Lepisosteus oculatus: one gene and its partners. The protein of the gene in region 2 interacts with the protein of the main gene of each other region in a pairwise test. Links are inferred from orthologs where the notes say so. Each region holds a gene or a part of one and is shown on either strand. Other genes may lie near its edges.

What was found.
Region 1: the proteins of pbx3b (region 2) and homeobox protein PKNOX1 interact in a two-hybrid assay, tested with the Homo sapiens proteins (2 studies listed by BioGRID and IntAct). The link is inferred for Lepisosteus oculatus from reciprocal best matches to the Homo sapiens genes PBX3 and PKNOX1.
Region 3: the proteins of pbx3b (region 2) and agtrap interact in a two-hybrid assay, tested with the Homo sapiens proteins (4 studies listed by BioGRID). The two-hybrid records come from large-scale screens. The link is inferred for Lepisosteus oculatus from reciprocal best matches to the Homo sapiens genes PBX3 and AGTRAP.
Region 4: the proteins of pbx3b (region 2) and mal2 interact in a two-hybrid assay, tested with the Homo sapiens proteins (2 studies listed by BioGRID). The two-hybrid records come from large-scale screens. The link is inferred for Lepisosteus oculatus from reciprocal best matches to the Homo sapiens genes PBX3 and MAL2.

The regions. Positions count from the first base shown.
Region 1 is NC_090710.1:1,028,662-1,036,329, forward strand, and holds the start of homeobox protein PKNOX1, read right to left. Parts: upstream 3,275-7,668; 5' UTR 3,180-3,274; intron 1-3,179. UniProt on the Homo sapiens protein: Activates transcription in the presence of PBX1A and HOXA1.
Region 2 is NC_090719.1:1,104,336-1,112,295, forward strand, and holds the start of pbx3b (pre-B-cell leukemia transcription factor 3b), read right to left. Parts: upstream 3,391-7,960; 5' UTR 1,645-3,390; coding exon 1,448-1,644; intron 374-1,447; coding exon 300-373; intron 1-299. UniProt on the Homo sapiens protein: Transcriptional activator that binds the sequence 5'-ATCAATCAA-3'.
Region 3 is NC_090720.1:5,640,734-5,648,349, forward strand, and holds the start of agtrap (type-1 angiotensin II receptor-associated protein), read right to left. Parts: upstream 3,181-7,616; 5' UTR 3,166-3,180; coding exon 3,028-3,165; exon of another isoform or gene 2,947-3,027; coding exon of another isoform or gene 2,920-2,946; intron 2,410-2,919; coding exon 2,375-2,409; intron 1,196-2,374; coding exon 1,084-1,195; intron 626-1,083; coding exon 412-625; intron 1-411. UniProt on the Homo sapiens protein: Appears to be a negative regulator of type-1 angiotensin II receptor-mediated signaling by regulating receptor internalization as well as mechanism of receptor desensitization such as phosphorylation.
Region 4 is NC_090705.1:11,455,086-11,463,068, forward strand, and holds the start of mal2 (protein MAL2), read right to left. Parts: upstream 3,098-7,983; 5' UTR 2,961-3,097; coding exon 2,847-2,960; intron 1,757-2,846; coding exon 1,586-1,756; intron 1-1,585. UniProt on the Homo sapiens protein: Member of the machinery of polarized transport. Required for the indirect transcytotic route at the step of the egress of the transcytosing cargo from perinuclear endosomes in order for it to travel to the apical surface via a raft-dependent pathway.

The DNA of each region.
Region 1 (7,668 bases), on a different chromosome or scaffold from region 2:
AGAGTGAAAAACTTATTCTCCAACTAAAATGAGAGTAACTTACATTTACTCTTACAGGATCTTAAATGACCAAGTACCCAGGACATCAATTTTAAAACTTGGCAAAAGGCCAGCACCTCCTACAGTAGTGCTTATCAACCCTGGCCCTGAAGGACCCTTATCTTATTTTCAATAGAACTTTCAATAGGTCATGTTATGTAATCAATTAAGATCCTTTTCCGGTTCACAAGAATGCGTATAAGGTTATTAATCAATGTCACCTCTGAACCCTATGTTCAACACCTGTCCTAATTCAAGTCTATCTAGAGGACACCTGAAGAACATACAGAGGCTCTTTAAGATGGTTGGATTGATATAGCACCATTGCCACATGTGGCTTAACATCCAGTTAAGAACTGTTTTGACAGACAATAACTTAATAAATGAATGGAGGGATAACAGTGTTCTGTGTTTCTGAAATTTGTTGAGATCATGTTATGAGTTACCACATACCTTCCTGTGTATTTCTGTAAAATACTGTATTCTGTGATCCATTTCTAAAGAACTTCAATTATGTGCATCTGCCCTGAGCATTTAATTCAAGCACCTCACCAGTGGGCATAGAGTCAATTCAGATGTGGCCTTGGAAACGCCAAAAATGCTAAGAAGAACAACATCCCAAATCCCAAAATTCTTTTCAGAAGCAACATACTTGATTGTAGCTCTGGAGCCAAAGTTATCACTAAGCACTTTGATACAGCCATACAGAACTTTAAAAAAATCACACATGGGTAACATAAAATGCATAACTTTAATACTTTTCCGTTCGGTCGACAACTGTCATCTAAACTCTCGGCATGAAAGTTGACCACTTTCAAGACTGCAGTCAGCGATACCAAGGGCAATTATAACCACACATCAACCTTCCTTTTCAACAGAGGAGAATGTGTCATTGCAACTAAAACTAGTACCTCAAACTTGACTACAACATTTTCTCAGAAAATGTCAATGTTTTATCCATGTCTGAATTTATATTTCCATCCACAGATTAAATGTATCTCAACCAAAAAGTTTGTTTTTGCTGTAATCATAGGCTGTGACCTGCCTGTCCTCCAGGACCTTTACATCTCCAGGACTAAGAAGCATGCTGGCAGGATCATTGCTGACTCCTCTCACCCTGGCCATCATATTTTTCAATGTCTCCCATCAGAGAAAAGATTTAGGTCAGTTAGCACCAGGACCACAAGACACAAAAACAGCTTTTTTCCTCAGGCAGGTGAGCTTCATTCTTTTCACTTTCCCTTCTGATCACAACATTTGCCATGTGATGGCCAGTCAGACACAGAGATCTAATGGCAACATTTCCAACACTGCTCACAGATACAAGTACCAGCTTTTTTCCTCAGGCAGTGACTCTTATTAATCATCCCTATTAATCACTGAAAGTTACTTAAATTGTGTTATTAAAATTGAATATTGATTACTTAGTTTTCAACCACGGCATTATGTGCATTAATAATATTGTCTGTATATGGATATGTATAGTATGGACAGTTAATTTATCATTTACAAATATGTACATACGAATGGGGTTATCACACAAAAGTAGAGTTCTGACACATTCTTGAGGTGCAATATATATTTTTCTTTAATTTCTGAAATGTATATATGGTATGTCTGTATGTGTATAGTGTATGAGCAACTCACCAAGTCAAATTCCTTGTAAGTGAAAACTTGGCCAATAAAGTGATCTGTCTCTATATGTATAGCAGACATATCATCCATAAATCTTGTACAAACTGCAACAGATGTTCTAATGTTGAGATCTGGAATTTTCCATAGTTGGTCATTTGAGAGAGTAACAAGAGTGGCGCCTTTTCAATCTATTTTGAAATTTAAATAGGGAAATTGTAATGACGAAAGTCAGAATATTTAATTTGAACAGGACGTGCAGTTATAAGCATTAAGCTTTTCTATCTAAAATGTATGCTCCTTGAAAAAATAAAGAAAACAAAATCAGTGTTACGGAGTGTAACTAGATCCCCGATCTTAATGCCTCACAGCTTAACTACGTCAGTCCTCGATAACGAAGCCAGACTGAAACTCGATCACAAACCTCAGTCCTTATGAGGAAAGCGGGAGACTGGCCCTTAAAGGGAAATGCTTCAGCAGGAGCACGAAGCGTACAAGGCGGTATAGAAAAATACATCCATTAAGTTACATCATAAAAAGCAAAAACTGATAACGCACCCTGATATTATGAAGAAACTTTGTATTGTTCCTCGTATTTGGATTTCAATCAAGCAATCTATTAGTGTGCCTTTTAACAGTGTCAACAAACGAGGATGTAAAAAAGCAACAACGTATAAAACATGCAAATTGTTTATCTCTATGCCTGCATTTTGTAAGGCTGTGCGTTTCATTCAGGTGTTTCATTTACGAATTTACTGTGTGCTGCTAACAGTTTTTTTTTTTACTGTCCAATATGTCCCATCAGCTGCTTCCTGTAAACCTACCCCCATTTTAAGGGGCGCCCTGCTAAATTCTGGTGAAAAGTTAATTCATAAGCTCCTCTAAAGAAACTTCGTAGATGCTCGGTGCCTATTTAGACTTTTCAGAGAACTATGGGTTCATGGTTCATTTTTTATGCCTTTCATACGCTGCAAGTCATAACGCTGGACACTGGAAGGGCGTCTTGTTGATTCACGTCTCGGTGTGTTACGGAGGGGTTTTCTCAGCGCCATGTTTCGCGCCGCAACGTCCGCCACAACCAGCCCCGGGCCTCGACCGCTCTGCCCAGACAAACCCGGCCAGGCCGCATCCGGCACATAAACACGACCGACACGGAGAAAATTCGCCCCTGTCCCTTTAACGTTGAGGAGAAACCTGCCCCCTGTGCCTCCATCAATCAAGCCGGGCAGCTGCCTAGCCCTGCCCTCCTCGCTGCGCCGAGCAACAGCAACGAGGCCTTGCCAGCAGCTCCCTCGCTTTTCCAGAAATTTCCCTTGAAAAAGACGCTCAAACCGGACATATTTTTCTCCCCTTGTTCAAAAACGTAGGGCGTTTTGTACCCTCACGCTGACCCACTCCGAGCCACCTCCCTACTATGCCCTGGTACTTGCGATAGGGCCGACGGCGCTTTTCTGCGCGATATTTGATTGATAGTGAGCGGAAAAAGAGGATTTTGAGTGACAGCTTACCTGGGTGCCAATCTTCGTCACACTGACAAGCGGCTGCAGCAATCGGGACCCGCAGCCGCCGCGTGGCGTCATCGCGCCGCGGGCACGCAGCTCACGGGATAAGGTGGGAGGAGGGATGACGTATGGCGTGCACGCGCACGCGCACGACCCGGGAGCGGATGCGATGACACGAGTCTTCTCTGTACTGCAGGAACAAGCTAGCACTGCAGTACGTGGCTCAGAGATTTACTGGTTAATTTGAGAATAATCCTATCTGCATTTTGTTTGCAGATTTTAAACGACATTCCTGTGTTTACATTTTAGTTTCACATAGTCCAAAAACCCAAAACGTGCTAGTTTTAGTTGGTGTTAACGTGAGTGAAGACTTAGATGTGTCCTGCAGCTGACTCGCACCAGATGTCTACCGTGTCAGGCTCTGGCTCATCGCGGCCTTCTTTAAAATAAAGCAGTTACTGACAGTATATCAGTATATCAGCTCTTTGAAAATGTTACAAACAATTCAGTAATATGCAGTTTAAAATTTAGTCTTTGAAACGTGTTTTTAATATAGATTTCTAGCTTCTATGTGCAGTGAATTAATTATATATTAACACATTTTCTAATCCGTAGACCCCAGGTTATGTTTTTCTGTTGTAGAATGCGTTGTTTTTATATACTGTTATAAGAACAAAATGGGAAAAAAAGGTTTGTGACTAGACTAGACACCAACAGTTTCCACTACAGTCCTACTGTACTTGGACGACGTTCTGACTGATGTGTAACTATGCCACGAAGTGACCTGACCGTATTGTTACCCTAAGCCTAGACAAAAGCTTCGCTCAAATAACGACAATGACAATAACTGTTGTGAGCAGCTGGAATTGGTGTTATTCTTTATATATTCTTCGGACCAGCTACCTGTTATCTGCAACAAACTCTCTGATTCGTTTTGTAGAAACACAAAATGTTAATGCTTACACTGACTTCCAAAGATCCAAAAACCGGATCCCTTGTTTATATACTCACCTCATAAGCAGTTTCACGTTCATCAACAGAAACAGCATGAGCAGTTCGTAGCTTATCCGTTGCTCTGGAGGATTACAATTAACACTATAATGTGATGTTTATGTGATTGTTTAGATGTCTCTAGGTTGAGCAACATTTCATTATTGAATTAAGAGTGTGAAACTCGCTAAAAATCATAGCCAAATGATTCAAGCGCATTATACAGTAGTAGGCATGAGAATTATTCAAAATAATTTGTCTACAGACAAAAGGTTTTTAAAAATCACCATGTTGTAATTAAGGTATGAATATGTTTTTATAGTCATAAAAATTCAAATGGAACAGTTTTTCTAAATGGAATTATATTTCAAATTGTTTGCTTCAGGACTGAAATAGTTTAGATGCTAACCAATCAATTTTTATATATTAGAAGATTTAATATTCAGTTATTTTTGTGTGATTTATTTTCATACTTCTGTTAGTATCTAACTGAATCCTAAAGCCAATTAACAGTGAAAGCAATAAGGACTAAGAAAATGCAGATTTAAGATTGAAAATTAGGGGTTCTGGATGCCTGGAACCACACTGTCCTTCTTTGTTATTGAAGCAGATTTACTGGGATCAGTAAGCTACCAGAGCTGGTCAGATAGTGAAACGGTTCATTTAAAAGCTCCTTTATACATTCATATATTTGTGGTCTTTAACTCTGGAGATCTTGGGCTGTACAGGAAAGCCAGGTATGACTTGGAGAGGGCCATCAGACATGCGAAAGGGGACTACAGAGACAGGCTTGAATCACAATGTGGGGGCATTAACACAATGCACCTCTGGAATGGCCTGAAGGCTATCACTAATTACAAAGGACAAATAGGTTATAACAACAGCTGATGATTCACTGCCTGACCAACTAAACAACTTCAATGCGAGGTTTGACGCTTCACACAAAACGCCCATTGAGCCTGGGGAATTTGTGCTGCAGCTGTCTGAACAGGAGGTACAGAAAGCTTTCGGAAAGGTGAACCCACGCAAGGCTGCCAGCCCTGATGGCATCCCATCCCCCTGTGTTTTAAAGGCATGCAGAGAACAGCTGGCCCCTGTCTTTACTGTAATATTTATCACGTTACTATCCCTGTCTACTGTCCCACTGTGCTTCAAAAGAACTACTGTCGTGCCACAGCCTAAAGCAACCAAGTTGTCATGTCTGAATGACTACCGCCTGGTGGAAGTCACCTCAGTAGTCATGAAGTGCATGGAGAAACTGGTGAGGGGACACATCGACAGTATTGTCCCGGACTCCCTGGATCCCTGGAGTTTGCTTATAGGAATAATAGGTCAGTACACGATGCTGTCTCACTGGCTCTTCACACCACTCTTGAGCACCTGGACTAGAGGAAAACCTATGCCAGGATGTTATTTATTGACTTCAGCTCAGCCTTCAACACAATTGTGCCAGGCAGGCTGGTGGTCAAACTCAGGGGTCTGGGCCTCAACAACGCCATCTGCAACTGGGTCCTGGACTTCCTGACAGGCAGACCCCAAGTGGTGAGGATTGGAAACAAAATATCATCCCCTCTGATCCTCAACACAGGGGCCCCCAGGGCTGCTGCCTGAGCCCATGGCTGTATTCTCTATAACACATGACTGTGTGGCTAGATTTAACAGCAGCCGCATCATAAAGTTTGCTGATGACCCCACAGTAATCTGTCTTATCAGCAACAATGATGAAACCACCTACAGGAGCAAGGTAGAAGAGCTGGTGGAGTGGTGCCACAACAACCCCACACTTATCATCGGCAAAACAAAAGGGATTATTGTGGACTTCAGGAGATATGGAGGACTTCACACACCGATCCTCATTCACAGGGCTCCAGTTAAAACTGTCAGCCCCTTCAGGTTCCATGGCCTCCAGATCACTGAGAGGCTGAGCTGGTCAAAGAACACTGCTGCCATCCTCACTAAAGCCCACCAGCGCCTTCACTTCCTGAGACAGTTAAGGAAGTGGGGGATGAGCAAGACAACACTCACCAATTTTTACTGTAATACCACTGAGAGTGGCCTTCCAGTGTGGTATGGTGGAGCCACAGTACAGGACAGAAAAGCCATACAAAGGCTTGTGAGGTCCTCGCAGTAAAACATTGGGACCGAGCTACCCTCCATCGACCAGATACATCTCGACCGCTGCCACAACTATAGCTATACTTGAGCTATACATTGGGACCCAGTTGACCCTGGCCATGATCTGTTTTCACCCCTGGGTTCTGGTAAGAGGTATTGCAGTATTAGAACACAGACCAATTGACCAACAGTTTATTCCACCCAATCATAAACAGCTCAAATTAGCACCTGCACTTTAAGGTACTACACTGTTTGCACTATGTCCTGTCTTGCCTGTATTATAACATATATTCTCTAAATTTATTGTCCATGTCTGTTTGTCATTTGTGCCTATTTTTTTTTTAATATTACTGGGTACAGCTGAAAGAGTAAGCATTCCAATACTCTTGTTGTTATAAAAAATATTGAATCTTGAAAATACTTGAATTACACATGTGCGATATGATATAGAAAAGGGTGCTCAGTTGACATTTGATCTATATGCAGTTACAGTGCATGACAAACATTTGTCACCGCTTATATTACCTTAGAAAAAGGAACCTGAACATTAAGGTAGTGTAGAACTCTGATCTGTTACCATTACAACACAATGGAATACTGCTACACACTATATGGACTTGCACACAAATGCAGATATTGTTCCCTTATGGCTGGCATCACTAATCATCAATGGGTCTTCCACAATAACAATAAATGTAACATACCTTGCATTTGGATTTAAACTTCCAGGAAATTGAATAAAATTATACCTTTTTTGAATGTGATTTGTGTTTACAATCCACTTGCTTGTTCAGCTTACATTTTGAGATATTGTAGGCTATATTCAGAAAACGTTAATGTCTATGTGAACTTTTTTAGTATTCCTAGTTAATAGTCAATGTTTAAACTGTTTTTCCTTATTGAACAAGTGGTAAATGTGACAGAAGGTTAGGGTTTTAAAATAGTCCTTTAACTTTTTCAACTTACCAAAGACACTTAAACCTTTTAACAGCACTAAAATAAAATACATTTAGAATTCCTGTCTTCCCCCTTAGATGTACAGTAGTAGCACCTCAGGCACCATGGGCAAGCTAGCTACAAGTGCTGAGTTACAAATGCAATGTAGATCATTATGAATGTAACATACCATTTTGATTTTAACAATGGGAACCCTCTGGGGAGTTCACTAGGCATGAAAGTCAGGTCACCACTCTTGTAGCCTGTTATCCATATTGGCTAAAGCTCTGAGAAAAAAATAGCTCTCTCTTTGCAAAACTATCTGAACTATGTGTGGTAGTTCACTCTAAACCAAAACCATTTTTTTTGCCTAAAATCATGTCAGATATTTCAAACAGGACTTCTATGGGTCTCTATAACACCATCAACTAGCAAGCAAAATCTCCATGTTCTC
Region 2 (7,960 bases):
CTTCCTTCCAAACCGAGGAGCCCCGGGGAAGGCGGGTTGTGCTCTCTGCGTGATGTACTATCGTCTTCATACACAGTTTCATTGCGCGGCGTGTTATGAATTGTACAATTGACTTTAAATGTATTACGTTTTGTGATACAGGAGGAAGGCGTGGGGAGAGAGGGGACAGGGGGGAAAAAGCAAGATGGCGGCAAAGACGCGTTTTCAATTGAGCCAGGAGAGTGCTGCCCTGCGCGTCCTCGCTCGTTACTTCTCCTCATCGATTTCTGAACATGAAAACAAAAATGTGCCTTCCTTACCTGTTTTCTCTTTAATTTCGCAGAGGACGCTGAAGAGCGCAGGTTTCATCCTGTGGCAGTTCAATCCGTGTTTCCTATTACAGTATACGGCAAGAAAAAGAAAACATGATATACAACACTGCAAAACAACTTTAAAAACACAATACTGTGCACATCTCCTCATTTCCTACCCGCCCGCTTTAATCATCCCGTCTAGCGAGCATTAAATGAATATTCCATTTATTTATTTGTAATAATAATAATATTGCCTATCCCTGATCAAATGAACTCTTTTCGGCAGGTGACGGGCCACAAAATTCAGATTCTCGACATGAGCGTTAAATTCTGCTGCAAACAGTAATTTCCAAAGAACCTAAAATAATTGATCAGATCCTCAGATCCTAGTTTATTACAGCGTTGTTGTTTTACAGTGAGGCTGTAGCTCAGTGGGAAAGAGGTGACAATCGGGGGTAAAACACAGGTTACACAAAACCACACGCTGAGCAATTGAACTTGAGCTTGAACAAGTTCTTATTTAGCAGTTTGAAACGTTGTATTTTTTTTTTTCAGTAAATAGAAATTATTCAGCCTGTTTTTAGAATGATTTCTATACTTTCGGACCAGGCGTCTCCGGGTCTTTAACAGGTAACAGTCTGTAAAATGCTGGGCTACAAATGTATCTTGCACGCTTGCTTGTTTTTACACTGTGCACACACATGTACATAAACATCAGCACCAGGGCACTTTGCAACAATATTTCTACAATTCCTCTGCTTTTCAAGATTTTAAAGACACTACTCCCCGCCCCATAAATAAGGACTTCTCCGTGAATTTAAAAATAAAGAGATAAAGAGAAAATCCCGATTATTATTTTTTTACTACGATGACAGCCGGGTGTACATCCGAGAAGCAAGAAAGATACTTTGCCTCCCGAGAGTTAAAGAGAAATGGCACAAGCACTACAATATAACTTATCTACATTTGCCCCCTTGTCCCGCTATATTTAAAAATATATATATACCACACAGCCAATAAATATGACCATTGTGATCCATGCGATTCTAATTTTAGTAGCGACAGCATAACCACTAGACTGGCTCTAAAGGTTCATAATAGGTTAGCAACCATACATGCAACAAATCTGAGGTAATTTTAGAAAAGGAACCAACTTTGCTTGCGCCTCGTCCAGACTTTGGTCAGTAATGGTCATTATTTGGTGCAGAATGTCCCCGATGTCTTGTTTCCTGCCGTCCCCGTCCGTCCCTTCGTGTCCGTGCGGGGGAGGCAGGGACATCCCTCCCTGCACCGAGTGGCCAGCCAGACTGACACCGCCGAGAGTCTGCATTATCCGGGACTGCTCGTCCATGCTCTGCCGCAGCACAATCAATGCGTTTCTCCGGGAGAGACAACGCTCGGAGCCAGCAAGGAAAATAAAAAAGGGGGGATTTGCGGGACAAAATCACATACAAGGAGGAATTCGGTGGGCGCGCGGGAAAGAAAGAGAGGCTGAGAGGAGGGGAAACGGATCAAAAAATTAAAAGAAGCAAAACTAAGAATCTCTATTTGTATAGCAGTAATTGTACCGGCAGCAATCGCGTGTCCAGAAATCACTTTTTTCGCGTTTGTGGGGTTTTTTTCTCCCTCGATCCGAAGTAGCTTTAGAATTGCAGGATCAATTTTATGCTGGTAGTTGCATTGAGGCACCGATATCAATTCTGTACTTCAGTTATTGATACTTCGGCAATCGGATGACAGCTCGCGTGTCTTGACCGTCTTCAGACCTTCTCGCCGGGTTTTGCGTGCGATTTGGCGTCTCGTGCTATAGCTCCCTGCACATTGTTTTCATGTGTTTGTAGAGTCTTCTTTCGGCTTGTTCTCCCCGTGCAAATCTTCTTGCAAACTTGCCAGAATCCCCATTAAACCAGCAGGGAACCCCCCCAAAAAGACCTTTCCAAAGCTAAAGTTGCACGCACAAAAAAAAAAAGAAAAAAATGAAATAAAAATTAAAAAGCACAGCAAAACATGCTCTACCTGTCTACAGCGTGCGTCTTGCTATGTAACAAAGGGTAAAAATACCCAACACATAAGTAAAATCAAATTTGAGAAAAAAAAATATAGATATTTTAAATGCCCAGGACCAGCGGCGGCGACAGTAAGAATGATGGTGATGATGACAACAATTAAAAAATAAAAACACAAAAAAAAAGTTTTGGAGCTTCTTTGAGGGGGGCGAAAAATAACAGAGGCCCCAAAAAAAAAAAGAGAGAATCGCCAGAAAAAAAATAATAAATTAATTACACGCTGTAAAGCAATGCGCAAAAAGATCTGGCTGTTGAAATTTATGAGCCCGGATCCCTGACTCTGTGTGCTTTATGGTGTTTGATGGCCGCACTAGTGAGCGATTGACAAGGTGCCAATGTCACTCACTCAGTGCAGACGTGTCAGACCGCGCGCAGAGAGGCAGCATCCCAATGAGAGCGCGCGGCCCGCCCACGAGAGGAGGGGTCTGAGTCCGTGGCGCCGCCGCGCGCAGAGACCCCGGCGAAACACACCGCTCGAGCCACGCTAATGGCCACAGTGATGATGATGGTAATAATAATCACGACACGCAGGGAACGCGTTAAATAAAGGACGCGTCCTCCTCCACACCCCCCTCTCCCTCTCCCTCTCTCTTTTTTTTTTTGGTTTTTGTTCTCCTGGCTGCACTGGAAGGCGCTATATATGCAAAAAAAAATGCCCCGTCGGCTGACAGCTCTCACCAGCGCTGGACGGGCGCGCTGTGCACTAAAACAAACACAGCCAAGGCAGGAGGAGGAGGAGGAAAAAAAAGTCCACACACTTCAAGCCCCGAGTTTTATATGGTTTGATACAGAAGTGATAATGAATTGCTCGGGCTCTCCGCTTTTCAAGACCGCGGCTCTGCCTCCCCTCGCCCAGTGCTGCTCGGAAGGTGGGCGGGCGGGGGGCCATGTTCTCGTATCGCGAAGAGCCGCCGTCCAATCCCCGCCTCGGTCGGGGCCTGACTGACAGCGGCGCCGGCCAATAGGCGGGGAGCTCTGGCAGGCTCCAGCCCGCCCCCAGGGTCCGCCACCTCCAGCATGGCCGTGCAAGGCAGCCGGCAACTTCTGATTGGCCGTTGCCACGGGTGACATCAACCGCACGCGCAGGCGGCGCTGCCCTGTCCCTTGCTACAGTTGCTATGGCAGCAGACGAGCAGAAAGGAGCGGGGATGCGAGGATGTGCGCATGGTAGCACCACGAGCAGGCGTGCTCGCGCGGGGCTCTGCTCGTGGGGTTTTTCCTCAGTAAAGGTGACATGTTCTCCAAACCCTGACCTGACCGCTCGGTAAAGTCATCCCTCCGGACACTCAGAGTAGACACTGAAATGGCATTTTTTTTTTATTCTTTTCCTTTTTCAAATAGATTTTATTCTCTGAAAGCTACACACTTTTCTTCTAACGCCCCCAGACAAACTCGCCGAGGTATTTTCAAGAAGAATTCACTGTCGCCCGACGGAGAGAAAGTACGTGGTAAATGTGTGTGATGTATTTATGCATTAGTCCACTTGCACTGTTAAACTGAAAACGAGTTATTCTTTGTAACTTTTAAGGGTTATTGTTATCACCGAATATCCCATCGTTTATTCCTGCAATCAGACCTTAAATAGAAAAAATACTAATGAATTATTATCATTAATGCAAATAAGCAAAAACTAATGTTGAGAATTCAGGAAAGATTATATTTGAAGGATTCCTGTTCCCTGATTTCAACAAACCGTCTTAGAAATTCAATCGGATTTTTTGTTGTTATCACAACACGTTCTTCCTAAAATATATTTTAACAGTCCAACCAGGCTAGTGCACCAGCTCCCTGTTTCTGTACAATTTTAGGCTGTACGTTAAATATTTGTTCACATTTAGGTTTTTTTTTTTAACTGTGTTTTACGTGTGACTCACTACAGCCGACAAGAGGTACAGAAGTGAAGTTCTGAAGTTAATTTAGCGCTTGTTGGTCATCCAGCGTTTTATAGTTTTGTGCAGAGCTGCCAGAAACACACGAAAGTACAAACACACGCGTGTGTTATTTTTGCAAAGTTGGCAGGCGGTGGGGTTACACGATGTTCCGCTTACTGGAATAAACGTTAATATTTTGCACATTGCTAGTTTTTATTTATTCTTACTTTTGAAATACCGTTAGGGAACAATTGCATTACAAATAAGTCCTGTAAGTGTCTAAAATCAAATTTTACGAATAAAATAAATGCTTGATTTGGAAAATTAAAATAAAAAACATACAAGTACGCCCCAAAAATAGCGCATTCGGATAACTGGATAATTTTGCAAAATGGGATATATGTTATTTCTGACAGTTATATAATATAGCCCATTTATCGACTGTGCAATAAGCCGGACGTTTCTGCTCCGGGGTGCAGCTGACTGCCGCCTCGAGCTGGGGCGTTCCGCGTGTCTGCCTGCACGGGGCTGTGGACCAGTACCGGCTGCCCGCCGCGCGCGGGGAGGACCCGGACCGCGAGCCGCGGTTTGAACTTGACCTCGGGAGCGGAGGGAGCGCGCCGCTCGCCAGAGGCGTCAATAAACACGGCTCGCGGGTGGGCGCCTCGTTCAAGTTGTAGACGTGAAACCGCATCGGTCACCTTTCAAACCCACAGCCGCCGAAGAGCTAGCTAGCTGCCTAAGGGAACCAGACCGACTTTTCAAAATCCAGAGGACCCGCAGGGATCTTTGTGTGCTTATAGGCGACGGCCACAAGCCAGGACAGTATGTATTAGCCGCCGTCCGCAGCGCAGACACAGCAAGGCCACACGTGTCTTCCACCGATTTTACACACGTTTTCCATCGAGATTACCGGTAAAAACAAAACATTCTGAGCTATTGATTTTGAAAACCGTTGCCACGAGAGTGGGAGAGACAATTGTCATTTTTGTGTTTGTTTCACTTGACGCTCAATTTCTTTCTTGGAGAGTGCGTTGAATAATTTGTCCCATATAGTCCAGGAAACCTATGATTATTATAAGTCTGCCCAGCTTGTATTCACCAATGCAATTCCCGGTTCCGAAGCGCAGAGCCTAATTCCAGTGCTCTATCATCACTATACATGCTTGAACAGTCAGACGCGTTCAGATCCCCCGCAGAAATCCTAACTTACTGCAGAGTGCAGAGTAAGACACAGTGCGGGCTTGAAACCCGCGGCCGCTCGGCCCAGGTCACAGCCCGACCTATCTGCTCCACTACAGAATGGCCCTTAATTATTTAATTGGGAATGAGCAGGATCAATATGACAATTAAGGAGCTGGCGGTATTACAGCACGGCGATGGAGCGGCCGGGAAGCCGAGCAGCCCTGCCACAGTCTGTCCCCGTGCCGGCGGAAGAAAGCAGGGCTCTTTTTTTTTTTGATGATGATGGTGGGAGTAATTATCTAAAATTAGAGAGAGAGGAGGAAATAAAGCTGTTAATTGGAATGCACTTTGAAAGTCAATCAGACATAGTTCTGCAAATGCGCGAACACAAGACGGTACACTGAGAATTAGCAAACGCTGCGCCGATTCACAGACCGCGGTGCATGAATTGATTCCAAAGCCCTGCAGGCTGCCTATCCTGACACATTGTTACAAGGGGAATTAACATTTGATAATTAAATAGCAAATAATCAGATATGCATGGAGTAAAACTTCCTTTGGGAAAATCCTGTTGTTGGGGATAGAGGAACGCCACATTTTTTCCCCCTCTTCCTCGTAAGAAAACGCAACACTCCCACCAGACGACGTGCAAGTGTTTCAAAGCTGCGAAACGCGGTGAGGTGAATGATGTTTTCATTTGGTCAGGATTTTGGAGAGGGGTCCACATTTTCATGTTTTAATCTCTGAATTCCCAGGTTTGCTGAAACACGGAAGGTGAAAGGGGTGAACTCTCCTGACGTCGAGGACAGCAACAGTAATGCTTGTCGTTTGCATTTCAGAGACGAGAGACTTTTCTCTCCGGCCACAGCAGACAAGGGGGGGCATCTCCGAACTCTGCAGGAGCTGCGCGGCTCCAGTATTTTGCTTAAATACTCCAATTCCGGACGCCACTGAGGAGATCCTGCTGAAGGAAAGGATTCCTGTCTTTTCTGCCATTTTTTTTTCTAGAGGTCAAAAAACTCCTTGTTCTGTCGTAGTGGCGTTTGATTTACATGAGTCTTTATATACAATGCATGGATAGGCCCCTGAAACACTTTGCAATCAACCACATCACAAGATTTATAGAGGCCAGTATGCTTAAAATATTAGGAATTTATATTGATTCAACTGTTTAAGTCATTGATTAAATGCTGTGGCATGATGTTTCGACCATATATTAGTCATTTTGTGTGTTTACAGTGTAACTGTGGCCTGAGAAAGAATAATGCATTTGCCTTTCTGTGTATTTGTCACATCTCACGGACAGGGACAATGCAGGGGCCAGATTTTATTGCTGCATCAAAGCAAGTTTATATTTTATCACCCCCTCCACCACACACACACACTTCCAGCTCAGGACAATTGTGTGTTGTTTGTTTCTTAATTGATTGACGGTGTTACTAATTTAGTAACATGTTTCAAAGCAAGCGGAGTAAAACAATTTAAAATTTCAGAGCTAAGGTATGGGGGCGAGCAGCACTGGGGAAAAGCAAAGCCACTTAATATTGCATTCAGCGCCTTATACTTTTAATGAGGCTGGCAACCGAGATTACCAGAGGAATTAAAAAAAAAGACGCTGCACTAGTTTCACTGGTGATTTAAGAATGCTGCATTTCACAGTGAAAAATAAAAAGCAACACATGAAAATACATTTAAAAATATATGTATAACGAGGAAGAAATTTCAGATCAAAGGAAGCCACTGTACAGTACAGGCACTGACAAAGAAACAAAGCAGTGCGATCAATTCCTTTTAATGCAATTTCATGACACTTAATATGGAGTTCTTACTGTATAGATAAATTGGTTATGTCCACGGTTGTGCAGTATTTCTATTAGGCTTTATTCTGCCTAAATTAAATTTCCCGGTTGGGCTCTTTAATTGAGCCCTGTTCCCTAATGACAGAAGAGTGAGGACTTTAGAAGGAAAAAAAAAAGATTTGCTGATAGAAGAGCCTTTGATTTTTCCTGGTGTTTGTAAAAAGCATGTCATTTTAAATCCGTCCCCAAGCTGTTCATCCAGAAAAACGGCCTTAAACCAGCAACTCAGAAGAATTTGATTTCGGCAGTGGCCTCTCCTTTTTTCCACAGTTATGGTTAAACCCTCAGCAGTGCACGGTTCTGATCGGTGTGAGGGGGTGTAAGCTAATCACTAAGGTACACTGGTACCCTGGGCAACTCATCATGTGTCTTCTTCCCCAAATATTTTACCTTATTAGCTTCTAATCCTTGCACAAGATCGTTTATTTTTAGATGCTCATAATCCTCAGGGTGAACAAATTGTTAAGGCATCATGAATGCCCTGTGCTATGAAGCTCAAAGCGTACACAGTGCAGAACTTAGTCATGTGAAGTTGATCTCTGTTGCCAGAAGACACTTGGCGCTTAGTGTTTGCTGAACAAAACATAGGATGTCAATACATAAAATGCTCCAAAGTGCATTAACTGGTATAAAGCGTTGTACATTTTTTAAATTAAATTGCTTCCTCCTTTGTGCACATTTCAGAA
Region 3 (7,616 bases), on a different chromosome or scaffold from region 2:
ACAAACTCTGATTGAACACTGAAGACGGTTTAGTTTATAACATGAATAATACCACCAGGTTGGTGACGTGTATGAGTGTGATGGTGGGGCAGAGTGCCCGGTATTTTATTTTGTTTAGGTAAGTCTGCTGCAGGGTGGAAAACATTGAGAAACACTGCTCTAAGGTACAAAGCATCCAGAAAATCCTTTCTGAGTTCAAGGGAAATGTAGCGTCTGCAGTCAGGCCTACTCAAGTAGAAACTCCTTCAACTTGTTTGGCCTGTTACAATCCACAGCAGTGTTTGGTAGGTGTCAAATTCTTAATACCAAACAGAAATGAAAGAACCTGTCTCAACGACTGCATGAGAACAGGCCGAGGCTCGGGAGCAGACCCACAGCCAGGCCCCGACCCAGAGGAGGCCCTGTGCTTACCGAAGGTCACGTTGCAGTCGCCTCCCCTCTCCCGGTACATCTGGTAGACGAAGAAGCAGGAGGCGGGCTTGAGCAGCAGGCTGAGGATGGCCATGCCGGCGCAGAAGCGGAACGTGTCCCTCAATCCGGGGGGCGTGCCGCTCTCCACTGCGGCGTAGTAAATTCCCAGATGAATAATATCGGTCAATATCGTCACCGCCATTCCGGCCAGAAACTGGGAGAAGGCGTGGGAGTGGGTGGGAGAGAGGACAAGGTAGGTAAGCACTGGGAATCACGCTGGGAAACACAACAGCTAAAGGCTATTACAGGAAGCTGACCGAAGTGCAACTTTTAAACCGTAGGAAAGCAAATTAAAACCAAATCCACCACATTGCGTAATGCATTACAGTGTGTGTCTTACGGACAACGTCCTGATTCCTGTAAAGTTAAATGGTGCAATATCTCAAGAGGTCGCCGCATTCCTCCATGTGGGCTGTGTGTTTCTGAGCTGCTACACATTCACAACACTGTCTTCCTTTTAACCCGTTGTACAACAACGCAGGTTTAATTTGGAGCAAAGGCTTTGCCGTGAAAAGGTGTCATCTTAGCTGATTGGGTGCATTCCCCAACTTGTCAAAAAACAAATATGCGGCATCGTTTTCAAGGGAGCATGTGGAAAGTCTTCCAACTCACCATGAGTACAGCATCAATGGAGTCCCTCTGAGCGACAGCCCAGACGCCCACTGCCAGGACACTGAAGTTACCCCAAGCGTAGGATGAAGGCAGCCAGATGTACATACAGGCCCTGGAGACCAGCACAGGACAGCTCTACTTCAACATTCGCTTCACAACAACCCCAGAGCCAGATGTCTTACTGTGTGTTGATGCTAATAGCCTTTATTGCTACAAAAAAACCCATTGATTTCTATGAATTTCTATTCATACTCATACATTTTGCTAGTCTAAATTTTAAAATATGAATAATTCAGAGGCTTCTCTATGAGTGGCACAAACTGCAAGCATACTCATTGTGCCTTTTTGTCACTGTGCTGTATGACCTACCTTTCATACTGAGAAATTAAGAATACCACACAGTAATAAGCTGTAAAAAGGGCTCCTTAACTTATTGTGGAGTTCCATTCTTGTAACTATTTCATCAAAACTCCCAGAACATCTACAACCAATAACTTTGTACGTAACAGTGGACACAACGCTTTGCAAAACACACATTGTGTAAACTTGTTTCCTTTTTAACAGCAGAGAACTGAGTCACGTTACTTTCCTGTTGCAGCTCAATTCAACTTCACTTTCAGTCTAGGCTTTCTTAATCGACAACCGACGGTTATGTTTCTCATTAGATGCATAAACCACACAAGAGAATAGTTAAAAAGTGGTTAGGGTCATACAAATAGTAAAATAATAATGCAATGTTTAGTTTCTGCATTTTTCCATTATGGTAAACTATACATATTGTCAGAAATACCAAAGTTTCTTCCTCATTGTGGGAAATCTTCTCTTCTTTTAGCAAATTCACTGAATTAGGTACACAACAGAAAGTGTTTAAGGAATACGGACCTAAATCCATAATAATCCAGATTATCAATATAAAACCACACATATTACATACAATAAATATTTAGTTCTGAACCTCAAACCTATAATAAGGATTTGTAATAAACCCATATTGACTGGTCTTACAATATATATATATATTTTTAAATCAACATGCTTACTTTTCTTACTTAAAAGAAAAGGGAAAGGATATCATTCACTGCTTTGGGTGTCAACACGAAAACTCTGGGCAGCGAAAGAAAACCTAGAGAAGGCACCACTGCAGTCTTGAAAAGCAAAGAAAGTTATTTTCGGGTTGGGGTAGTGGAAGGTTAGAAAGTACATATACCCTCCTCCAAAAATTAAAAACGGCAGTAGGGCAGCCGGAGAAATTCCTCAGCTGTTTGAAAAGAAAAAAAATCAAGCCGCTTACCATACTGTCAGAAGCCAGTGAACCAGTATAATTGCCTGTGGGGAGAGGCAGACAGAGGTTCATTACAGCTATCCAAAACCTAATAATAAAATAATAATCCGGTAGTGGCAAAGAGTTTATTCAGCGCCACTCGCATAGATGTAAAATCAGGCCCCCGGACGGATCGCAAAATTGTCACTTCTTGTGTTGTGGATTTATGAGTTCTCCTAAACGTGTGAGCTCTACATTTAAAAGTAGAGATGTACAGAAGATAAGCCCTTTGGAGCTTGTGTGTACTTTTAGCGTGAACTACACGTAAACAAACTTTTATTTTCATTTATAGGATGAAATGTTCTACAACATACAGTTTAATCTAGGAAATCAACAGTTTTCTGCTGAAGACAGGATAAGAAATGCCACTAATTATCTCCTACGGTTTATCAGATTGAACTGACTGAATGCAAATTACAGAAACAGAAAGCAGTTGCACGTTGACGTACATTTAACAGACCTGTCTGTCTTTCTGTTCATGCACTTCTATAAACAATCCAAATTTTAATATTTACCTTAAGATTTATGGCTGGAATTTCCATGCTCTTGTCGAGTGTCTATCCACTCCCACTCAGCCTTTTTTGCTTTTGCGTCCAAACAGAAATCATATAAAAGTACAGTACCGTAATTTCTCTCTCTGAACTTCCCGGTCTCCGCCCTCCGTGGCAGAGCTGCAAACACAAACCATGTGACGGCAGCCTGACTCTCTCCACGTGACCGTGCCCACCCTGACAGCACCACGTGAACGTCAGCAGCCTCATCCCCCGCCTTCACCCACCGAAGGAATTGCGTTAGATGCGGAATAGTGAAGGGGTGTTGAAAGATGATTGGGTGAAATTCTGCTTAGAACCCTTTAAAGTTGCACTGCCCTTAAGAACAGGGTACTTTCCTAGTTCCTGGTCCTCTTGGTTCTGTGGATGTGGATGTGGATGTGGATGTGGATGTGGATGTGGATGTGGATGTGGATGTGGATGTGGATGTATCTTCATCCGTCTATTCTAATACCAGGGAGAAAGCAGGTATTTAAAATCCATATTCACTTAGTATTTGGTGTGTTTTTGCACTGGTGGTTTAAGGTGTTCAAAGTTAAAAAAATAAAAAACTCCTTTCAATAAGCAGGTCATTCTGTTGTAATGACAGCCCGGCCTCTGGTCACTGGTCACAGCCCCGCTGTGTGCCCACACACACTGGTTTGCTTTTTCAGGTGAGAGCACGTCTCTATTCCAAGCTGTTCACACCAGGAATTTCCCAAATCTCTGCGCTGAACAGACAACATACCATTACACTTGGAAATGCTGCCTTTTATGGCAGATAGATGCAATGTTACCTCAGTGAGGAGTGAGTTTGAGAAGTTAAGATTTTAAATATATGCAAAAGCATTTGTTACATACAGCAAGATACTTTGATGAAGTCTGTGAGTCATGAAGAATTGAGTAATAGGTGCGTTAAGCATTGTAAAATGTGAAATACACGCGTGGAATTCCCCAGCTGTAGTAAACCTTGATGACTGCTCTTAGTATAAGCTTACTATGAAAAGGTTCCTTAATAAAATAATTTGAAATCTGTTGATTAAAACTTCAGTGTTCTTAAAAAGTTGTCCTTGTTTAATTCATTAAAAAATCAAACTTGGGCTCAGTGAATTGTGTCCCCATCTTACATTATTTGTGTGTTATTACACTAGCAAGCAGCTGAAGACGTTCCAGATTACAATTTTAATTACTTTTGTAACCATTTTTTGCAAACCAATTAATCTTCTATTATTACAGCAGACACCGGAGGCTCCACATGATCTGGATGTTCATAAACTTGAAACAGAAGCCCGCAGCTGTCATGGAAACCTCTGCTGCTCCCAATTTCAGGAAGACTGGGGGTCTATAAATCAAAGAGCGGCGCACAGGCCCCACCGCAAGTGTGTGGAAATGTGTGCCATGCGCCTTTCTTCTCTACTTTAGTCTCTTCTTTCACGCCTGGCTGTTTAAAAACCTCCTTTGTTGGGCTACAAAAAGCACAGCAGATGGTGGGCTGGTTGTAAAGAGCGGGGTCCTGTGGCAGGATCACCCCTCCTGCTGACCCGGTGACCCCTGAGCTCGGTGACACTGCTCTAAGAGAGGGGGCGGTGGAGAGGCTCTGTTATACTCTTCCTCTCTGTCCCTGCTCCCCCATTCCTCCTGCAGACCTCCTCTCTCCTTGAGGTTCTGCTGGCCCAGCTACACCTGTTTAACGTACAGATTCATTCATTTTTTTCTGAGATGTGGGATCAATCCTTCTATTGTTAATGTAACGTAGCAACAAATTGTGGACCTACTCTGTTTTCAGCTGCAGGTGCACATGTTCTAGTGATCCTATTGCCTTGACCCAGGGCTGTATTTGACATGCGTGGAATGGCCAGCAGAAGCAGCACCTCCATAATGGCATTCTGGTACGAGATCTGTTTTGCTCTGGGGCAGAGGAATACAGACGAGGGAAGCAGAATACTGGTGATTTCAGGAACAGTTCGAAACAGGAAATGTCCATCTTCTGCCCGTGTGTCATTGTCCAAACAAGGTGTTTTTCAAAGAGTAGTGTGAAAGACAATCGTACCTCAGAATAAACAATTCAGTAATGAGAAATATGCACCTTGCTTTGTCTGATTGCTGGAAAATTACAGATACAAAAACGTCTTTAATCAAGCTGGGGAACACATGGGGTGTCAGCTGCCACATGTGATCTGTTCTGTGCTCATACCACTCCTCTTGTACATCATTGCCTCTCACATTTGCATCAGCTTGTATTGTACTGTGAAGATGCTCCATCAGCTAAGGCAGTGATTTGTACAGCAAGACATTTGCACACAATTACAGAACACCAACCTGGTGCTTCAGAACAGTCCTGGCACGGTGCTCTGATGTTTCATACAGTATATACTGTATATATCCATGTTCTTTCTTAAGGAGAATGTTTGAGATTCACACGGGGCTCAGATTCACTGGCACTGAAAAGGGGTCTCAGTTATACAGTATTAGGTAGAATTCTTGGAGATGCAAAACGCATCACAAACTCCTCAGCTCCAGCAGCCCAACACCCACACTGGGCGTTCATTCATTTGTTTTCTCCATTGTTTTTTTATAGTTTTCAATGAAAATAAAAAGAATACAAGTAGACACTTTGCAGCTAATGCATATGAGGAGATGGGCTGGGCTTGGCCACCTCACTATCAGAGGGGTGGGGCAACTCTGGAGTGCCTGGCAGTGGTATTCATTAGGAGCTGACCTGCAGAAGCACTGCAAAACTGTTAGGTAGTCAGTTACAGAAGAAATCACTTTTACTTCACACTAAATTGTCCCACTCCTTCACACACTCAAGAAATCTGTATTCATTGGTCAGGTGAATACAGAAGCTCTACTGCACACTTGTATTATAAATACTCATAGGTGTTGTCTTTGTTGTGTATGTAAGGGGTCAGCCCTCAGTCAAGCAGGTTAAGTCAAATTTTCATCAAACACCCCATAATCCCTTCAGGACGCTTAATTCTCGGGTGCTGTTATTCCTAGTGAATCATTTTCTTTTTATCGGACTTTTCCCACAAAAATGAAGTGCACCAATAATTAAACAAAGCAAAAATAAATATTTCATTGGTTTGTACTGTTATCCAGGTCAATTGCTTACAATGGAAGTTATTTATGTTTTGTTACTTTAGCAAATTTTATACCATATATTTACAGTACACTAAATAAAGAGCTAGTATATTTACATAAGGCACATGGACAATTTCACTGGCTGTGTTGTAGCCATTCAAAGTTAAAAGACCCAGTAAGCATATATATGTATGTATTTTCTACATTATTTAACAGACTTATACCTGACACCACTTTGCCTCTGTTAGTTCATAAAACTGAGGGTTTACTGAATTTTAAAATAGGATACAAGCTCCATCAACAAAATACATCTTCCCAAAGCACTGTATCCTTGTATCTATGAGCTAGAAAAGGCAGCACATCAGAGAATAATTTTGTCAATATATTTAGCTTGTCTTAAATTACAACTTATGCATGATCAATACTAAGAGTTTAGTGGGCCACCCAGAACTCAAGGTCATAACATCTGTGACATTACTAAATCTCATAAGTCAATAAATATCATTAACAGAGGAAATGCATCTTTATGTTATTACAACATGCAATAATAATGTACAGCAGTCTTGCTTATCTTTGACCTGAAATTAACAGAGGAGCTTCTGGAAAAAAGATCAATTTGCACATTTTAAAACTCTCGGGCTGTCTACAAACAGGCCTACAAAAGTCACTCTGTGAAAGATCTGATCTCAAATCAGTGAAATAAGTAAAAATTGTGTCTATTGTGAATGTCAAAATACCCGTATCTTCTTGTCGGGTGAGATAAATAGCAAAATCAATCATTTGATAAAAGTTTGCATAAAAATCAAGAGTTTCTTGGCTTGTGCAGGAAGCGAGAAAGGTGAAAGTGTATGGAACTGTGTGGGTGGTGGCAGGGGCAGTGATGAAGGCGATTTCAAAAGTGGGTGCAGAGGGTAGGACTACTAAAATATAGTACAATGGCAAAACAAGTTAGCCAGTGTGTGGCTGGTCTGGGAGTAGTTCATGTTATCCCATACAACACTTAGCTGCAACACTAATCCAAACACTAAACACAAGCCCTCCCCAACCCAATTTCCAAACTTTCATCCAGCCTAACCCTAATCCAGCACTTAACCATAGCTCCAAACTTAAACTTAACACTGACATAATCTTTGCTGTTTATCTTGAATACCTCCCACAGTGTAGCTATTCTCAAGAGGTTGTCTCTTCTCCTTACCCTTATTTTAGTTTTAACTCTCACATATACCCCAATCCTAACATTAAGCACAACCTTGCTCCAACCCTTAACCTAGGCCTAACTGAAGGTCTAACTCATACTCCAGTGCTACACTACATGAATTCAAACTCTAAATCCTAACCTTAACCTCAGCTCCAACCTTAACTCTGAGCCCAGAGCTAGAGTCAGAGACAGAATTAGGATTAGACCCAGTGGTGGTTTACAAACATTGACTGATCGCAACATTTGCCAATAATGTTTCTTCAAATTAAAAGGCTATGAAGCTTTTGAAGCAGATATTTCACATTATTCGCTTTAGGTTACACACATGCAGCTCGAGAAAGTTACTATACATAAGAAAACAGCAGTGTAGAAAAAAATATTCGATTCCAAAGAGCTTTTT
Region 4 (7,983 bases), on a different chromosome or scaffold from region 2:
TTGTGTCAAAATGCATGTTTCTGTAATGCCTTTTTCCCTTTGGACATCTGACTAATACATGTTAACACACCTTAGTGGATACTTACAGTCATTTCTAAACTAAACTGCTAAAATACCTTAGAGTGCTTAAGCAATTGCTGACATGCCTTGGACCCATTAAACAAGATTTAGCTTGTACAGAACATTTATACACAGTAGCTCACAAAATTATAATCTATCAATGATACCTATTTTAAGCTTATTGAACACTCAGCAAATGATGCTAAAATTATAATACTGAATTAATAATCTTAAGAGTATACTAATGGCAACTAAGAAAGTTTCATTTTCTTATTTCCTTAGTGCACAACAAGCCGAATGCCACCAGGACAAAGAAGGTCTCCTTTTTCATTGGCATGTCTGGTACTATACTGTACATCACTTTGAATTCCCAAAACATTTGTAAGAAGTTTTTTTTTTCATGGGGTTTTTACATGGATAAAAAACTCATGAGTGATAAACCCATTTACATAGGATTACTGCCCAAGGAAGAGCGATGAACAGTTTATAAAACAGGTTGCCTTGGGGGAGAGGAGACTGTTATAATGACACACCCCAGCACTCAAGTGTCTTACACCTCCCTGGGCAGGTGCCCAGAGTCACAGACAGAGATTAAATTCAGTGTCCGCTACAACTTATAATTAAAACAAACGCAATAAAACTTTTGATTTTTGTCAAGGATTTTTGTCACAGTAAGGATGGGCTAAAATTCCACATCAACATGTTTAAGCGCATACTGAAGACAGCCAGTGGAAATCAAAGCATGTTTTTAGCTCCATTTTCAGCTAAGTCTCAAGTCTCAGGGGTCATAGCTGGTATACTATACCTGTATGTTTTATCTAAAGTGTTAGAAGAAGTAAATATTATTATATAAAAGTAAATGCAGTGTTCTGAAACTTCTTATAGAAAATAAGTAAAACATGGTGTTGCCTTCAAAGAGGTTCATGGTTCTTAACCTTTGGAAATGACAGAATGTTCTATAGTTCTGTGTCAACAACAGAACATACTAACAAATGGTACCTAAAAACTGAGTATGATATCATAATAACTGATAATTACCATCGCCTGATCTCATTGATCAGGGAAAAGCATTTTACTTATGGAACTGATTCATACGTATTTGCCATACTATCCCTTACATACTATCAGTAATTGCTTCTGGAAAGCCTTCTAAATCAGAACTGTACCATGAATCCTGTATACTTCACCATTGTCCTCTCTTTATATTTACCCAAGTAAACAATTTTTTAAAACCTTTTTGCTGTAATAATTGTTACATGTCAACACTAAATGGCAGCACATCATTTTAAATAAGCATAACTTAAGGAGGGGACTAAAAATGTCCAACAAAAAGTAGATACTGTCATCTGCTCTCCTAAGGGTCACTGATTACTTCCTTATTGTCACATGGGCGACAGAATCGCAAAACACTGAATATTGTTGTGCTTTTTTTTTCTTCTGCAAAGAATGCAACTGGGATTCTTTGCTGTTTGGTGCCTGCAAGCCATTTTCAGTTCACCAAAGAAATAAATGTAAAACTTCTTACCAGGAAATTCCAGTCAGTGTTGATCCTGTCAACAAAGCCCAGGAGAAAGACAAGGAGGTATGCAGTGGAGAAGGTAAACATGGTTACGGACACAAACATAACCCAGCCTTGTAACAGAGGCACAGGGACATTGGAAGAGGCCACAAGAATCCATACCAGACCTCCGAAGACCTGCATGAGAAAAGAAAACTTCTTTTAACATGTACTACTATAAATAGCTTTCTTTGTCATTAGGAAAAAAATAAAAATCATCCTTTTGGATATTTCACCAGCTGCTTTTTCACTATTTTCATTTTCAAATATTAACAGGCAAAAAAAACCAACTAGAGCTAATAGAATTTTCACTTTTAAATGTCTCTTTCAGACATTGTGCACTCATACATCACCTGTGTACAAAGAAATACATAAGATACTTTTCTCCATTTTGATCTGGAGTCCTAGACTGTAGGCTTTGTGAGTAATGTTTACAATGTGTCCAATAAGTATTAGAAGAATGTTAAGTTTAAGACCCCGGTATTTTTTATAAGGTCTTCAAGTGACTTTGTCGTTCTTACACCAAGCATTAGTAAAAAGTTCTCATTGCTTTCGTCATTATGAAGTGTGGTGGTTTTACAGTGTTACACCAACGCAAGCTTGTAATTAGGTCAGTTCTTACCGTTGAAATGTTAATTATTGTACCACGCAGAACCAGGTAAATCTTGCATTTAGTACTGCCCAGCCTATCCTGCAACAATACCTTCTTAAACAACAGCTTCAGATGAGTTGTTTAGGTATTTAATAACAAAGCTGAATAAGTTATAATACATTATGTTGTACACACTTCGGTAAATATTAAAAGTATACCATCCACCGGAAAAACACCAAATGTCACCGGAGAGGATCTTCCACAGCCGTGCACATTCAATTGTACGGCAAGTTTTCCAGACCTCCGTGTTATTTTAAATGTGGGAGTGGCAGGGCTAATCCTCTTAGCTGGGTTCTCGAAATCTTCATTTTACATGTAATGTCGGAGCGCTGTCATCACCTCATGAACTTAACAGAAAGCACCACGTTTCTTGCGAGTTCTTGCGCCGCTGCTATCAAAAGCAAAAAAGCCAAATGCCTCATCGGTACTTCCAATATTAAGAAGAAGCAGAGACGAGATCGTTTCACTCGGTGCTTCTTGTCTGGAATATGAAAACACACACTCGAATGTACTAGCGAACCACGGCGAGTGGCTAACGTTTGTAAGGAAAGGTGTTCAGAGTTTGTACACACTTACTATTTCTAAGCAGACGAGAGCCCCCGAGTACGTTCTCAGCACCTCAGGTCCCGTAGGCAAAGAAATTGTAGCGGCTGGGAAGGACGTAGCCGGCGAATTTGCGGGTACAGACATCCTTTTCTTAATTCAGAGGTTTCTGTTCAACAGGGTCAAGATCCAAATCAAATTCCTGCCGAGTCACGTGTCCTCGCAGCCCAACAGGTGCGCGGCCACGCCCATTCTGTCCGTTCGGAGCAGCGACACCGCGTCTCTTTGAAGGAGACCTGGAGTACGTGAAGAGCGGGTATAGACTGTCATAAATAATCCTGGAGTAGCCGAAGTACGTATGTTTAGCCATCAAAACCGGGGTAAACAAATGAATTACGACTTGTTGCTCACTTGTAATAGTATCAGTGACGTTTATAGAGAAGCACGCACATTTTATAGATGAGGAACAAGTAAAGATTTATTCCAAAGGAACAAGTAATAGGTTTATTCCATGCTGGGAAAAAAGAAGAAAAAACACAAAGTGTTTTCTTTCTTCTTCTTTCTCTTTTTCTTTTTTTTTCAGCATGGAATAAACCTATTACTTGTTCTTTTTCAGCCTACGCATGCTGACGCAGCTACCTACCTGAAGATTTATTCCACGCTGAAAAGATGAGAGGAAACAATGTTTTGGCTGGGGTGCCTTCTTCGAGTGTGTTTTTCTTTTGGCTTGTTGTTTCTTATTTTGCTGATAATTGGCATTGTGTTTATTGTCTTCTGTTTTCAGCATGGAACCTTTTCACCACAAACCTTTACGTGTTTCTTTGCAGACTACGCATGCTGACGCACCTACCTTCTTGAAGTATTTTATAGATATTCTTTTGAGTTAAAAAAATAATATTATGGCAAGAACACGGACGTGACTGGCTTGAAGTGTATAGAGAACCACAGTTAAGTTACAAATGAATTTTCAAGAGATATCATCCTATGGACACCAGTACATTATACTACAAATATACAAAAAATGAGAATATTGCAGTCCATTACCAAAGGAATTTAAAAAATACATATTCTTTTTAATAATGTTAATTTTTTTAAAAAAGTTTTAAAATAAAAATACAGTGTATTCTAATTTTTACCTTTAGTGTAATAAACATTTGAATCAGGAGTTCGGTATATCTTGGTCTTTTAAACTGCTTCTAAATGTTTAAAGTCAATTTTTCACATAGTTTTAGGTACAGTAATTTATACAATCAAATGGAACAATAACACTATCATCCTACATGACATTTCTGGAATCTCAAAAGAAGTGAATTTATGACATATATATATTTTCTGTAGCAAGAATATCATTTTGAACAACTAAAAAGTATGTCTGTCATGCTTGAATCTTGGAATTGAAATGTCCTCAATAGCACTGATCAAAGGAATCACATATTCCTACCTTCAATTCAGTTTATTAGGAAAACCTTAGATTCTGAATTATTGTATGTGCCATCTACTTCTCAGCTTAATCCCCGGGAGAATATAAATACTCCTTTGACTGTTAAAAGGTTTGGATGCATTCTGAGAAGCCATGCTCAAAAATGCTGTCCACTTAAATTTGTATCTGAGAAAGAGAAACAAGTCCAGTGGTGAGCATAACTGCAGCAGCTCCCATGAGCTGCCATTCAGAAGCCCTGTTGACATGGCAACCAGGAGCATCATCTTTGGAAGGGGAACATGTGACATTGTCAAGCTAATACAAAGTTAAGAAAACAGAGTATATTCCCAAAACACTCCTCAGTGTGTATGTGTGTTTGCATATTCCCTATCCAATTCAAGTTTATGTTAAATATGTATTTGCACAGTGGTTATATACTTTATAATCCTAATTTAATAAATTAATACGAATAAACAAGAACAAATCCGATACAGTCGTAATTATTTAGTTCTTGCCAGGAATATTAACATTTCCTGTCAGAGTAGGAAAGGACATGTTTTTGTTTCAGTTCAACTGCATTATGCAAGTCATATTGGCTTCATTCACAGGTTAATCATTCAACAGTGTTGTTTACTCAGTTTGGGATAGTGGTGCCTTTCATAGTTTGCTAACTCTGACACACATAAGAGGTGAGTGAAAAAATACAAGGCTGAGCTGGAAATCCAATAACTGCTGCATGTCTATTTCCAGGAGATTTCTATTTTTATTTATTTGATTAACAAGTAGACATATCATCTTAGGATACTTACAAAGTTTTGTGTTTATTGTGTAATGCTTGTTTTCAGAAAAATAAATTCTACAGGTACAGGCAGTCACATGTTCTAGTACCAGATGACAATGTATCTTTTTTTCAATATTGGATTGATTCAAACTACACTTTTTGAACCCGAAAAAGAGAGTTGTGAAAACATTAGGTCGTTAAGTTTGTCAGAGCATCACCAAAAAATCTCACTTCCTGTTAATAAAAGAAATTTTAGAAATATTTGGCCAATATGGCTGTTTTAGTTATAGTAGGTAATTGATCTACTGTAAGTATCTCAATCAGATGTTTACTCAAAGATGTCAGGGTGCTGGCTTCAACAACATGACTTGAAAAATAAACTCATCTATCACAGTTGATTCTGAAGGTGTCCACTGGATTAGTTTTGTCAATACTTTCAATGATTTCGCATTCTCGATTCTGGCCCCCAAATTCTCTGTGTAAGGCTAAAAAAACATAGACTTTTTTAGCCTAACAGCACAGGCTATTCTTTTAAGCCCTGGAATGTACTGTACCTTTGTGGTCTTCTTCGAACATATTCCAAAGCAGCAGCATCTTTTTTAAGATGTGGTGAACAAAGATATTCCTAGTACATTGTGAAAGTTTTACAACACAGCAATTGCTTTAAATCTGACACTTGTAACTGTGTCTTGTATCGTTCTGTTTACGTTTTTAATGCTTCCTTCTATTGCCTAGAGATGGAAAATGATGTATCAACACCAGCCTTTTTCACAGGCAGCTTTTTCAAGTGCAGCGATTACCGTACAGTGATTTTAGGTTTATGCTGTAGTTAATGTTTTTACCACCTGCTTATCAATCTTGAGGCGTTTAACCAGTACTGAATTTTACTGACTTTTTGTTTTTTTAAACGAGAAGTAAATGACTCATTATAGAACAGGTTTGATCTTTTTAGTAATTTTTGCTTTTGCTAAGAAATTGCATCTCAGTAATGGTGAAATCATACTAAACTGCTTTCTCGGAGTAGTTTAATTGAATGTGTTGTAGAGCCCTGTGGAGATGTTAATAATTAGCTGCAATATGAAGGCAAAAGCAGCTTCTGTTTAGACAAGAAATCACAAAGTGCACTGAAGTGTACATTTTGATTAGCTACTGCATAATTTAAAGATAGAGTGGAATAGGTAATTTGCAATTTGCTATGCACATTCATTGAGCCATAAACCAGTAAAAGTGCTGCCTTTCTGTCAATATGGATCTATAGCAAAATAAGACAGAAGTGGGTGGAGAACAGATTTGGGGAAATAGGAGCTAACAACAAATGACAAAGTGTTTTTTATCTATAGACCCTCAATAAACATTGAAGCTTCTGTACTCCATGATGAGGAAGTAAAGAAAAACTATAATTCATTTAAAAATATTTTAATTCTAAAGTGCATTAAATACTTTCTAAAGGAAAAGGAAATCCGACATACAGTTTACAGTATTGAGTTATGAAACATTAAATATAAAAAATAAAGCAGGATTTAAATGGAAATAATTCCACTGTATGTGTTTTCATAAAAAAATATGATGCAGGTGAACTAAAAAGTGTTAGGAGTAAATGGTCTGTTTGGAAAGTAAGTGCTGTAGGATTAAATTAATCAGATGAGTTTTGTCAGTGCAAACTTTAACTCATTGTAGTGTTAAAAGGATGGACAGCTTGTTACTCTTGGAACAGGATGGGTACAATATCCAGATCCTGTTTTGAGTATTCAAGGAATATTATTTCATGTTCTATGCCCTTTTATATGAAGAGATTAAATCTTCTTAATAGAAAAAAGTAGGGATTAATTTGGTGAAAATTGGTATAAGTGTCATATTTCATCCTTGTATAATTGTTGCTATGGTGCTGCATTATTACTGCTAGTGTGGATCCACCTGAGGTATTGTTTAGGTCTTATAGTTAATAAACCATGAAGAAGGGAAAAGGCTAGTGGATCTCATGAAGTAGCAAACCCAGGACCATGCCTGATGTCTATGGTTCAGCAACAAGAATTCTCCATAGAAAGCAGCAAGTTTCTTATATTGTCAATGCATTTATTTTCTTTAAATGATACAATTCAGCACAATATCAAATGTTGTTTTAAAATCTAGAAAGCAATGGTTTACAATTAAGAAAAATCTAAGGAGAAAGAAAGCACATTGTAGAATAATTAAAAAAGAGCAGCATCAGGATAAAGAAAATAAATATAATGAGTGACACAGATCAAAAATGTTGTATGTAAGGCCAAAAAAGAAAAGACTACTGTACAGTAAGTGGTGCTTAACAGAAACTAATAATTTTTTCAAAACTACAACAGCAAAAGTTTAGTAAAGGATGGTGTCTTGGAAACAATACTGGGAAATATTTATAAAATGAAAAGAAAATGGCTGATATAAAATGAATATTTCATTCAGGTGTTTAACAAGGAAGAAGTCAATGACATGCCTCAGTTTATGAAATGTGTAAACTAAATATTACTAGCATAGAAGAGGCAGAAGTGTTGTAGGTACTAGAAACACTTAACTGGAAGTAAACGTTGCAGCCATGATGGTATTCTACCAGCTGAAACCTGAAGTATATAGATTACTTACAAAACACTTTCAGCTGTCACTCAAGACAGGATAATCCCCACTTATTGGAAAAATTGCTATTAATATTACACTTATCCACAAAAAAGAGTGACGAACCAAATCAAAAAGCCATTATAAACTGCTAAATCTTTCTTCTATTGCATATATGATTATGGAGATGATAAGTATAACTGGAGATAATGCGAACTGAAAAGTAAAAAGCTGTTTGTATGGTAGCCGGATACTAGGGAATTATCAGCATGGAGTTAAAAATGTAGGTTGCTTAGAGAATGTGTTAGAGATCTTTGAACATGCTACAATACTATAGACACAAACAGAGCAGGAGATATTGTATATTTGATTTTAGAAGTCTTTCATGA